3 linked regions of the Mus musculus genome follow. The protein of the gene in region 2 purifies or fractionates together with the protein of the main gene of each other region. This does not show direct contact. Links are inferred from orthologs where the notes say so. Each region holds a gene or a part of one and is shown on either strand. Other genes may lie near its edges.

Region 1 (3,941 bases), on a different chromosome or scaffold from region 2:
GTATTGGTCTTGCCGCAAGGAAGATTACCACTACCTTAGTGTTGTTCAGAGCCATCTGTTGTCATTAGCAACAGGTTAGCACTGCCCCCCTTCCCCAACGTCATCAGATTTTGCTGCAGTGTGATTAACCCTTGCAGCAAATGGAAAAGAATGGCGTCTGATTATTTTTTGGTTTGTTTGTGCATGTGTGTGTGTGCATTCATATTGTCACATTAAAATCTTACCTTGTCTAAGAGGAAATTAAAACTTGGCTTTATATGGAGGAAACTAAAACAAGATAGTTTTTGAATGTCCTATATTTCTAAATTACAAGCCATATTCTTTTCTGATAACAAGGAATCACCAAGTTAGAAATTAATAATGCTACCATTTTCTGTTGTGTAGCAGGGGAGGGAGTTGAATTTTCTATCTGGGTCTTTTGTCTTTATTAAAACAATAATAGCTGGAAATTATTCCTAGGTGTCAGACGCTGCTGTGTGGGCTGTAAGCGTAGTTACTCACTTTCTCTTCATAATAACTGCGAGGAAGGGATTGTTCCCACCCACTTTTATAGATGACAGTACAGGTAGTCAGAATAACAAGGATTTTTTTATTTTTGAAAATACTGTTTTGTTAACACCACAGTGGTAAACAACTTTAAGTTTGTGTTTCTTTACAGAACATTGGTTCACAGACAACTCAAAACCCACAAAGAAGCTAGAGGCCTTTACATTAAATGTCTTTTCCCTTCCTTTATGCCCGTCTGTCCTCAAGCAATAAAATTTAATTTTGCACCATTTATTAAGTCACATTTACATAGCAAAATAATGAAGGCACAGCTAATACAAGCAAACTTAAACCCTTTCTATTTCTGAGCTGGGGTTGGGGGTACACACTTGGGTTTGTTCTTCAAGTATATACTTTTTCCAAACATTAGCTTCATTGAGGAGTTCTGATGGTTTTCACAGCTACTTGCTAAAAGCTACAAGACAAAAAGACTTCACAAAGGTCAAACTAGGCAACACTGGATACACATGCTTTACAGAATTGCTACATTCTACATCTCTTCAAGTAAATTATATTTCTAAAATGCTATAAGGTAATTTAACACTTTAAAACATTTGGGGTAATTTTTTACGATTTTGTAAACAAACACTACCAAGAAAACAGGTAACACGGGACCATAACAGATGAACACGTGTTGACAATATTATACATGGAATACACCCTCATTTTTGAAACCATGTTCTTTCTGTAAATGCAAATATTTAAAACATTTTTTCACAACTTGAAATGGCAGTTTTCCTAGCCACATAATCAGTAAATGCTGTCAGTCCAGGCTTGCTCCATGCCAAGGCTCCTCTGGAGTGTAAAGCTGATGTCTGGGTTTGCAAAAGCAAAAGTCTTAAAGATGACGTCGTTCCTGGGTTCCTTTTCCTCTGCGCTGGAAAATGTAAAGAAACTGAAGAATTAAGCATTGAGAAGAGTTCTGTCTTAGCTTGGATGTTCTGGTGTAGTGTGATGAATGGATTTCAACGTGTGACGCACTTTTAATTCCCATCTAACTGACAACCTTTCAACAGTCTCAAGTCCAGTTCTCACAGAAGAGCAGGGAGAAAAAAAAAAGTTTAATTAGGCTTTTTTTTTTTTCTAAAAAACGTCTTTTAGCATCTGTTTTACACAAATAAAAGTCAGATTAGAAACGGGCTAGCCAGAATCTACTTGATTCAATTTAATTTTAGGAATGTCAGAATAGATTCACATTTTATTTTGGGCAAATCCTGAGCCTTTTAAAGTCTGCCGACATTGGAAATAAAAGGGGCAGGGGATTTATCACCTGTCAGCTTGCTGTGCTCACTTCTTGGCGAAGTTGGGACCCCCAGTTGCGCCAGCTGCAGCCTCTTCTTCCTCCTCCTCCTCCTCGTCGTCCTCTTCCTCGTCATCTTCATCATCCTCTCCCTCCAGGGTCCACGCGCAGCCCTCCATCTCTCCGGTGAGCTCCTGGATCTTGGCGAGCAGGGGCTTGTAGATATCGTTGTACTTCTTCTCCAGAGCCTGGAATTCCTTGTCAAACTTGGCCTCGATCTTATCGCAGCGCTTCTGCAGCTTTTTGAGCGCCAGAACCCGGCATTTCACGGAATTGGGCAAGCTCTCCATAAAGTCTTTTTTGGGCTTGGGCGCGTTCTCCGCGGGGGCCTGGGGCTCCTCGGCCGCGGGAGCAGCGGCACTGTCACCGGTCGCGGCATCTTCGCCACCCTGGGCGCCTTCCATTACCTCGTCCTCGGCGCGGCTCTCAGCGGGTCCCTGCTTCTCGGGGTCGGCCATGGCTACTGCTCGGCTCAGCTGGGCTTGTTTGCCGCAGTGGTCTGGTGGTTGCGCAGTCTGCAATAGAGCTGGTCCAGAGAGGTCCTGCAGCTGTGATTGCGGCTGGTCCAGAGTGCGTCTGAAGATGCGGCAAACGCTGACGGCTGTGGTGACGTCCGCGCGGCCGCTTCGCGGCTCGCGGCAAGTGAATGGCTGCTCACTATCAGCTGATGGTTGTGCGCACACACTGCACCAAATTGTTGCTATGCTGCTATCTCCGAGGTCTCTAAAACCTGCCACTTAGACACCCAGCCCTCAGCATCCGCCCCCACCCCTGCAGAACTGGCTGGAACCAGCTCGAGGCTGAGACTGTATTTTTCCATACCTGTTTATACACCCCCCCCCCCCAATCTGTTTACTGTGTGCTCCCCCTCCCATCTTAGTTCTCCAAATCCGCAATGCACCTGACAATCTTTGTTGAAAGTGCGCCATAGCTAATGTTGGTAAGCCTTGGTTATGGGTACATTTCCAAGCCTGACTGCGTCTTAAATTCACTTTCAGAGAACAGAAATGCAGGAGAACCATTTTCCTTCACCTTTGCAGACCCACAGTGCGTGCCTGTATCTGCGCAGACCATCTTTGGCTCTTAGAGCACAGTTAGACATCTCTGTTAAACCTATATCCTCGTGGCAAATTGTTCCGGGAGGGACCTTGGCATTGATTCTGTAAGTGTTTGTGTGGCAAATTTCTGCGCTGTGAGCATTCTAGTAGGTTTCACACAATTGCCTCTGAAAAGAAATAAAGTGAGGGTGAACAGAAGAAATGCAAAGCCCTAGAAGTGTCCAACCGTGTGACATTGTGAAAAGATGCTGTCATGTATAGATGTGTAGGGCCCAATTCAGTTTTTGGGTGGAGGCACACTGCTTCCAGTTAGCAGATTAAACATGCCCATAAAGGCTGGGGAAAAGAGGTCATTTTAATACATCTTGAAATGCGTGTTTGATCCTACACTTCCTTAGGGACCCACAGATGCTTCTACAGTCATTTGTCACCAAACACTTCACAGTTAACCATCTGTTGTTTGAATCTGCTTGTAATTTGTATGTGAGAGCTTTGGAAAAGACCATAAACATCAAAGTCTTGTTTTCTAATAATGAAGTGATCTTTTATTTTTTTCCCCATATAAGCCAGAATTAGAGAGTTATTTGTTTTGTTTATCTATCTATTTATTTATTTATTTAGCTGGTCCAGTCTAGCTTTAAACTATGTGAACTCCAGGTCCTTCCTGCCTCCTTAGAGCTTCTAGAATAAAGAGCAGGGCACAACTTTTAAGTGGTTCCTAGAGGATACATTCATTACCTATTTAGATCTGTCTTTCTCTGTGGTGGGTCTTGCCAGAGTTTTATGCATATGAATTTCATAAGAAATTTCTCTCTTTTACTTCTTACGTGTATTAACTTAATTGTATGTAAACCATTTAGTGCTGACATGGAGTAAGCACTGAATATTTTTAAAGTAAAATTACTGTATTAAAAACAAATACTTTTGTCCCTCTGATGAAAGAAAGTGAAATATACAAAATACCTTTTTAACGTACTTCTGAGTCCTTTAGTTTGTTTTACTCCCCCCTCCTGCCTTGTTCTTTTTTTCATTACATT
Region 2 (3,654 bases):
CTTGGTGTGAATATAATGCTGAATATCACACTCATGGTATAGAGGCCCAATTTTTTGAGCATTTTGCAAGTAAGACTGAGAGTTTGTGAGATATACCCCAATATGCCTTAACAGAGTTGAGGTAGTTGAATCAACAGTCCCACCCATTCTTGGTTATGCACAGTAAATAAACAGCATGGCTCCCGACACTCCTCATCCTCCTGAGGACAGAATAAACAAAGTCCAAACAAAGGTTTCAGTTCTAACAAGCACAACTGTACCTTTCTGCTCAAACTAGAGCATATCACTTTTTTTAAAGCACGTGTGTATTAGCTCCTCCAGCGTTGTTCAATATAGAAAACTAGGCACCCCTGAATTCCAACTAACCCTCTGCAATAGCCTCAATCAGTACAAACCGAGACAGCATCCCATGAGAGCTAAAACTGTGTCATATTTTTATTTTAGGCTATAAAAACAAAATTAGGCAAACAAACAACAGAAAAACTCAAAATAGGTTCATATGATGTATATTCATCTTTTCCAGGAAAGCAGAAGGTAGGCCCTACCACAAAGAAAAGATTTAATTAATGGAGGTTAATTTTCAAAATACATTAAATACTATCAACTTCAAGAGAACCTAGGGTTTGTTCACCTTGCTATAAACGAGTTGACTTTTGTTTATATCATCGAAAACATAAAAATGCTTTCATAATCTCAGTTATTAAGTTTGATCTTACTGGAAATTCTTAACGACAATTTTCCTCCCTCAAATGATGTCACCGTGCCCTGTGCATCCCTCTAACAACATGAGGGAAATGATGTCACCGTGCCCTGTGCATCCCTCTAACAAGATGAGGGAAAACACAGCTAATGCAGGCGGACTTCAACCTGTTCTATTAGCTGAAAACAACTTTGGTTCTTTAGGAAAGAAACAGCTACTCCAAGTATGTTCAACAGTTGGTTTTCATAATTGTATTCCAATAGCTAAATGATGAAAATACTCCAGAAGAACCAAACTGCAGCAATAAATGAACATGCATTAGAGAGGATGTATGCATTAACGTATCTGACAGAGCTAGAGCTAGGGTGCTAGGTAGAACAAACTCGTCTTTCAAATATCAATCTCCTTTCCCTTAAAAACTTACTGATTCTACCAAGAAAATACAAAACCATAAGGCTGTAAGTAAATGAGTCATGTTTAGGCTATTACAGGGCGGCCGTCCTCAAGGCCAGTCACTGCTCACTGCTGCTTGCACTCGGCTGGGTTCTGATCCTTCTGTTAAAGGAAAACAACACGTCAATCTATCTTCTACCGACTGTGATGCATTTTTTACACAAGTACTTTAGTTATCATAATATCTTGTAAAAAAAATTACAGTGAAGGCAGAAAATACAGGATAGTGACAAACTAATGCTCAAAGTCACTGAAGTGTACATTAATGAAGCATTACTTCCTGGGATAGCCTATAACCTCAAAACAACCACTGATTATAGTGACACTAATTAATTCATATCTATCAAAATAGCTTACTCTGAACTTCCCTTCTACATGCTTAAAGTATCTTCCCAGTGTTTTACAGCAAATGGTAGATGAACAAAATAAAGGAAATTTTAGGTTTCGAATGAATCCTGGAGATTATTACAAACTTTGAAGAGACAATGTTTTACTAACCCTAAAATTCCAAGAATTATAAACTGGGACCTTTAGGAATCAAATAATTTTAATAGTCGTTGGAGAATCCAAAGTTCAAAGCATTTCTGCCTCCAGACTTGTTTTAGCTAATTAATTACAACTTTCCTTTGTGTGGAAAACAATCTAAGCAACAGGTTTAATTCTTTAAAAAGGTCAAATCCCAAATAAGAGCAAGTAAAGAGAGGATCTGTCTCATCTACGCCTACTCTAGTGTGAGGCAGAGGGAGGCCAGCACAGTTCTGCTCACCTTTGGGTCATAGTCTGGATCGTTTTCCTCATCTCCTTCTTCTTCCCCTTCCTATATTAAAGTTCAAAATGCATCCATGAAGTAGGTACATACTAGAAAAATTGGCTCATAATGTATGGAAATTTTATACAAGTTACTCTATGGGTCAACAGATTTTCATGATTACAGAGTTTGTTGATAATACAATTTAATTTCAAAGCTTCTAATATGAAAAATTTCCCAACACAACTTGAGACATCCAGACAGCTTTTATTGAAAAGATTTACTGCAGCCAACGTTGGAAAAGTTTACTGCAGCTTTTGACTTCTTCAAAGAGCTGATAACCCTGCAGCAGAACAAAATTATTTGAAATAAAAAAAAAAAATGTTGCTGAGTTTTGCAATTTATTTATTGAAACCTTATACATACATTGTTTGGCTGTAGAATTCTAAAATCATAGTTTCCAAAATTTATCCCAAATCACAGAATGATTATAAGGAATACATTAATCACTCATTTTTGTTCCTCAATGTGTTATACAGTGAATTATTTGCTCATTTGGTAAACATTACCTCGTCAGCTTCTTCACCTTCTTCATCATACTGAAAAGACAAGTGAAAGTGTGAGTGAGAAAAAGTCAGCAAGCACAGATTATTAACACCCACCATCTGAACACTAAAATGTATTACAAAGACCTGAGCAGAAATGCTCTCAGTGCTCTCAGTTACCAAGCTCTGTGCCAGCTACAGGCTACAACATCTCCCTACCCTTTCTTTGCAGACTCTGTATTACCCGTATAAATGCTGCCATGAACATAAGAGTTCTGGTTGTTTCATGACAATGACATCAAAATAAACTAAACATAAAGGTAACCACGTTTTAGTAATTCAGAATCATTCTTCTAACAGAAAAACAAAACCCAACTTTAAATGAAACTATCCTAAAGAAGTCTTCTTCAAATTTGCTGAGAAAAGCGAAAAGCTGTCCAAGGGCTTAGCGGCACCATGAGCCCTGTATGTCCTACTACAGCCAACCTAGCCTCTTCCCAATTCTGACTGTGGCACCCGACAAAAGGCTCCACTGCAGGACTTAAATGCACTCACATCATCGTCATCGTCCTCGATAGCCTCTCCAGTGAAGTACAGCACTGATCTTGGGATTATGCGCTCACGTAAAAAGTGACCAATTTCAAAGTCTGCAGCCAGTATCGCCTCAGCATCATCATCCTATCAGAGGGAATTGTCAGTCAGTCAGCTTGTGACAAAGCTCCAATCCTGCCTACTTGCCACTTATCAAGTAAGCCATCTAAAACTGCTGGATTTGCATGCTGTTAATACCTAATACCTAACAATAAGCCAGCAGGCCAGCATATACACCGAGAAAAACTGCAGTACATAGAAGTTAGGACTGGTTATCATCTAAGACTTTGCGATTAAAGAGAAAAACATAAAAGAAACCCTGCTACACGAAGGCATTCCTTTGGAAATAACAGATATGGCTAGGAAGATGGCTCAGCAGGTTAATAAGGTTCAGAGATTTAACAGCATTGTCTGCTCTCGAAGAAGAGCCAGGTTCAGTTCCCAGCATCCACAAAACCAGAGAACCATTCCAGAGGATGCTGTCCTCTTCTGACTTGTACGGACATCAGTCACACAAATGGAACATACATACATGCTGGCAAACACTACCACGCATCAAGCAATGCTGAGTCTTTAGCAGGTATGGTAGGCCGTGCCTTTAAGCCCAGTGCCTGGGG
Region 3 (2,866 bases), on a different chromosome or scaffold from region 2:
CCTCCCTCACAGAGGTGTTCTAAAACCACGTATGAAACAGAAATCTATGACTGCACCCAGAAAGAACCTGCCACTGGCCTATACACATGCACCCATGCAAACATATGCTTGGGGCACGTCCATTATCAAAATAGACAAAATGCAAGGTAGAGTCCAACAGCAGACAACGACACTTACTTCTGCTTCACAAACTCATCAGTAATGAGTTTCTTCACATCTCCAAAGAGTGAGTGATGAATCCTGGGAATATAGAAAGCTCAAATAAACAAATAAATATAATCAGATCTGGTACACTTCCCAGATGATGGCAGAGGCATTTAATTCCAAGACAGAAAAGAGATTTACAGCACAGAGAAAGCTCCATGGAAGCTCAAGAGATGGTTGAGAGAGTGAGCAGAGACAAGAGCCATTTCCCCATCCACACGGGTCAAAATCTTGGGCCCACTACCCAGCCCAGAATCCCCACCCCCAGCTCCACCAGACCACCAGGCTGATGCAATCCTGGGAGCGTCCTCTCTTGCCAAAAGACAACACGGACAGCAAGCGCTGAGAGAGCCCAATCATACCCAGGGCGCAGCCCCAACTTGCGCAGCACCTCCCAGATGACAGCTGCAAGAGGAGGCAAGAAGGAGACAAAGACAGAAATTGAGCATCTGGAATTCAGGCAACAGCTACCTATTCAACTGCATGCCCATCCACTCACCCTCACTGGACCGATTTCCATTCATGAAGATGATGCTAAGAAGCACCATGAGGAGGCCCAGCTTAGGTGAGTCCTTGGTCCTAAGATAAAGAAAGTTTACGTTCATGAGCCATCATCTGTAAAGCAGCTTGCTAGGCTGCCCTCTCCTAGATCCCTCAGATACAGAGAATTCAGCCTACTCTATGGTCCCAGCCTGACCTAAGGCAGGATGCATTCCCTCTTGAGCCAAGCTCTCTACACACCAAAATGCTACTCCTACATAGGGTTAGGACATGGAAGGATGCCTGTCAACCCAAGCAAGTCTAATACCACTACTACCCACAGGGATCCAGCGTGTGTGGGAGTGGGGACAGGGGTGTTTAGTCCTTCTTTCCTGAGCTTCTAATAGGCCATGGAGAGAGGGATGGATGGGTGGAAGCAGAGGCCCATTCCCACCCTAGCACTTTCCCGGCTTACGTTCCCAATATGCCTGCATCAGTTGGCTCTAAGGTACTGAGAAGAATATACAAGTGGTCATTCTTGTCAATTTCTTTCAATTGGATTCCAAATACCTATGGATAGGAAGAAAAACTTATAAAATCATAAAATTCAGCTTCCAGGGCTTCTGTAGTTTCTTTTATAGCTAAGGGTTTTCTGCACATGTGAATGTGTGTGTTTGTGTGTGTGTGTGTGTGTGTGTGTGTGTGTGTGTGTGTCTGTGTGTGTCTGTGTGTGAAAGAAAGTAATGGACTATTGTATATAAAGCACATAGTTATGTGCTATTTATACACATAACAAACATAGGGTGGTTATCCATAGCATCTTTGTAATCAGGGGGAATTTAGGGAGACAGAGGGGTGAGCATCTGCAACACATGAGATGGTGTATCCAGCAGCAGGCAGAAGCCAGGACTAAGCTGCACAGCTTTAGCACTAGCTGTGTTTCCACAGCTGACTTGCTGTGTGGTCAGTGGCTGCCCCTCCCTAGGCCACCATGTGCTCAACTCTACAGTGATGAGGATGCAGTAGGTCTCTGCTTTCCTCCAGGAGGGTGCTCATATGCCTTTCTTCTGTTTAAAGCTTCCCCAGTGCACCCATCCCCCAGGGCTGTCCCTTCACCTTCTCCAAGGAATAGCCTGCTCGTTCAATGATTTCAGGGTATACATCAGTATATTCTTTGATGATGTCCTTCAGCATATCTGCAAATGAGAGTGTTGCAAGCATCTGTGCTGTAGAGATACCAGGTAACCCTGATGCCCAATCAACAGACCCTTTGTTGTCCAAGCCATGGGTGGCAGAACCAAGTTGTGGGGGGGCTTTTCAATAGAGATCCCACTGTTAGGAGAACTTTGTGAAAAGGGACAGGCGCGTGAGAATGAAGGCTGTCCCCAGCACACTGGTGAGAAGACAAGAGAAGGCAGAGCTCAGGAGAGAGCACGTGTTTGTAGGACTCTACCTGAGCGTCTGATGGGAATCTTTGTCTGGTCTTTAGCCAACAGGTACTTCACCAAGTCATTTGCCTAGGAGAAAGAAAAATGATGAAAAGACCAAAACAAAAAAAAACAAAACACAGAAAACTCCAAAGCACAACAGAGAAGACATCAGGCAACACAATTGAAAAGGTGAGACGTAGAGGGTGGAGTCCATACCCTTCCTTGTAAAAGGGCCACATCTCTGGGTGGGGGTGCCTCAGGTTCCTGGGATGACTGTAGCTTCGCAGCTCTTCTTCGGGCCTTGCCTCTGCGAGCTCTAGGTGACCTCAGGGAGAGCAAAGCTCTCCGAGCCCAGGCAGCCAACCGAGTCCTTGATGCCCTGCGGGCCCAAAAGGCTATGGGTCCCCTTGAAGCTCTGCGAGCCATGGAGGCCATTAGGGCCTTTGAGACCCTTCGACCACCTGTGGCTTCTGAAGCCTGACTCTGGTCACTGTTGCCATCCTCTTCTCCATCCGGGTGTTTCCCCTGCATCGAAAGAGGGGAAGGTCAATATCAGCAAGTGGTGCAGGTGGCTCTTTCTCTTAACTCAGTCTCTTCTGGAAAGCACACCCAACGCTGTCTCTTCTAGGATACATCCCCACAACCCTGCCCTTGTAGTAAGACTCTGCCTCACTGGACACTAGCCATCCTGAGTCATGGGCTTATCACTGACTACCAGTTGGGAATTTCCTCCCTGAGTGGATCAGGAACAA

The links.
Region 1: the proteins of Nap1l1 (region 2) and Nap1l5 purify together in Homo sapiens (affinity purification with mass spectrometry; 3 studies listed by BioGRID and IntAct, counting the BioPlex papers as one, with this or other methods). This does not show direct contact. The link is inferred for Mus musculus from reciprocal best matches to the Homo sapiens genes NAP1L1 and NAP1L5.
Region 3: the proteins of Nap1l1 (region 2) and Maged2 purify together in Homo sapiens (affinity purification with mass spectrometry; 4 studies listed by BioGRID and IntAct, counting the BioPlex papers as one, with this or other methods). This does not show direct contact. The link is inferred for Mus musculus from reciprocal best matches to the Homo sapiens genes NAP1L1 and MAGED2.

Annotation. Positions count from the first base shown.
Region 1 is NC_000072.6:58,904,664-58,908,604, forward strand, and holds Nap1l5 (nucleosome assembly protein 1-like 5), read right to left. Parts: upstream 2,464-3,941; 5' UTR 2,305-2,463; coding exon 1,834-2,304; 3' UTR 570-1,833; downstream 1-569.
Region 2 is NC_000076.6:111,493,641-111,497,294, reverse strand, and holds part of Nap1l1 (nucleosome assembly protein 1-like 1), read right to left. Parts: intron 3,125-3,654; coding exon 3,002-3,124; intron 2,501-3,001; coding exon 2,471-2,500; intron 2,245-2,470; exon of another isoform or gene 1,971-2,244; coding exon 1,920-1,970; intron 1,256-1,919; coding exon 1,220-1,255; 3' UTR 1,190-1,219; exon of another isoform or gene 542-1,189; 3' UTR 1-541. UniProt on the Homo sapiens protein: Histone chaperone that plays a role in the nuclear import of H2A-H2B and nucleosome assembly.
Region 3 is NC_000086.7:150,808,544-150,811,409, forward strand, and holds part of Maged2 (melanoma-associated antigen D2), read right to left. Parts: intron 2,640-2,866; coding exon 2,331-2,639; intron 2,202-2,330; coding exon 2,138-2,201; intron 1,881-2,137; coding exon 1,801-1,880; intron 1,255-1,800; coding exon 1,160-1,254; intron 784-1,159; coding exon 704-783; intron 610-703; coding exon 567-609; intron 241-566; coding exon 178-240; intron 1-177. UniProt on the Homo sapiens protein: Regulates the expression, localization to the plasma membrane and function of the sodium chloride cotransporters SLC12A1 and SLC12A3, two key components of salt reabsorption in the distal renal tubule.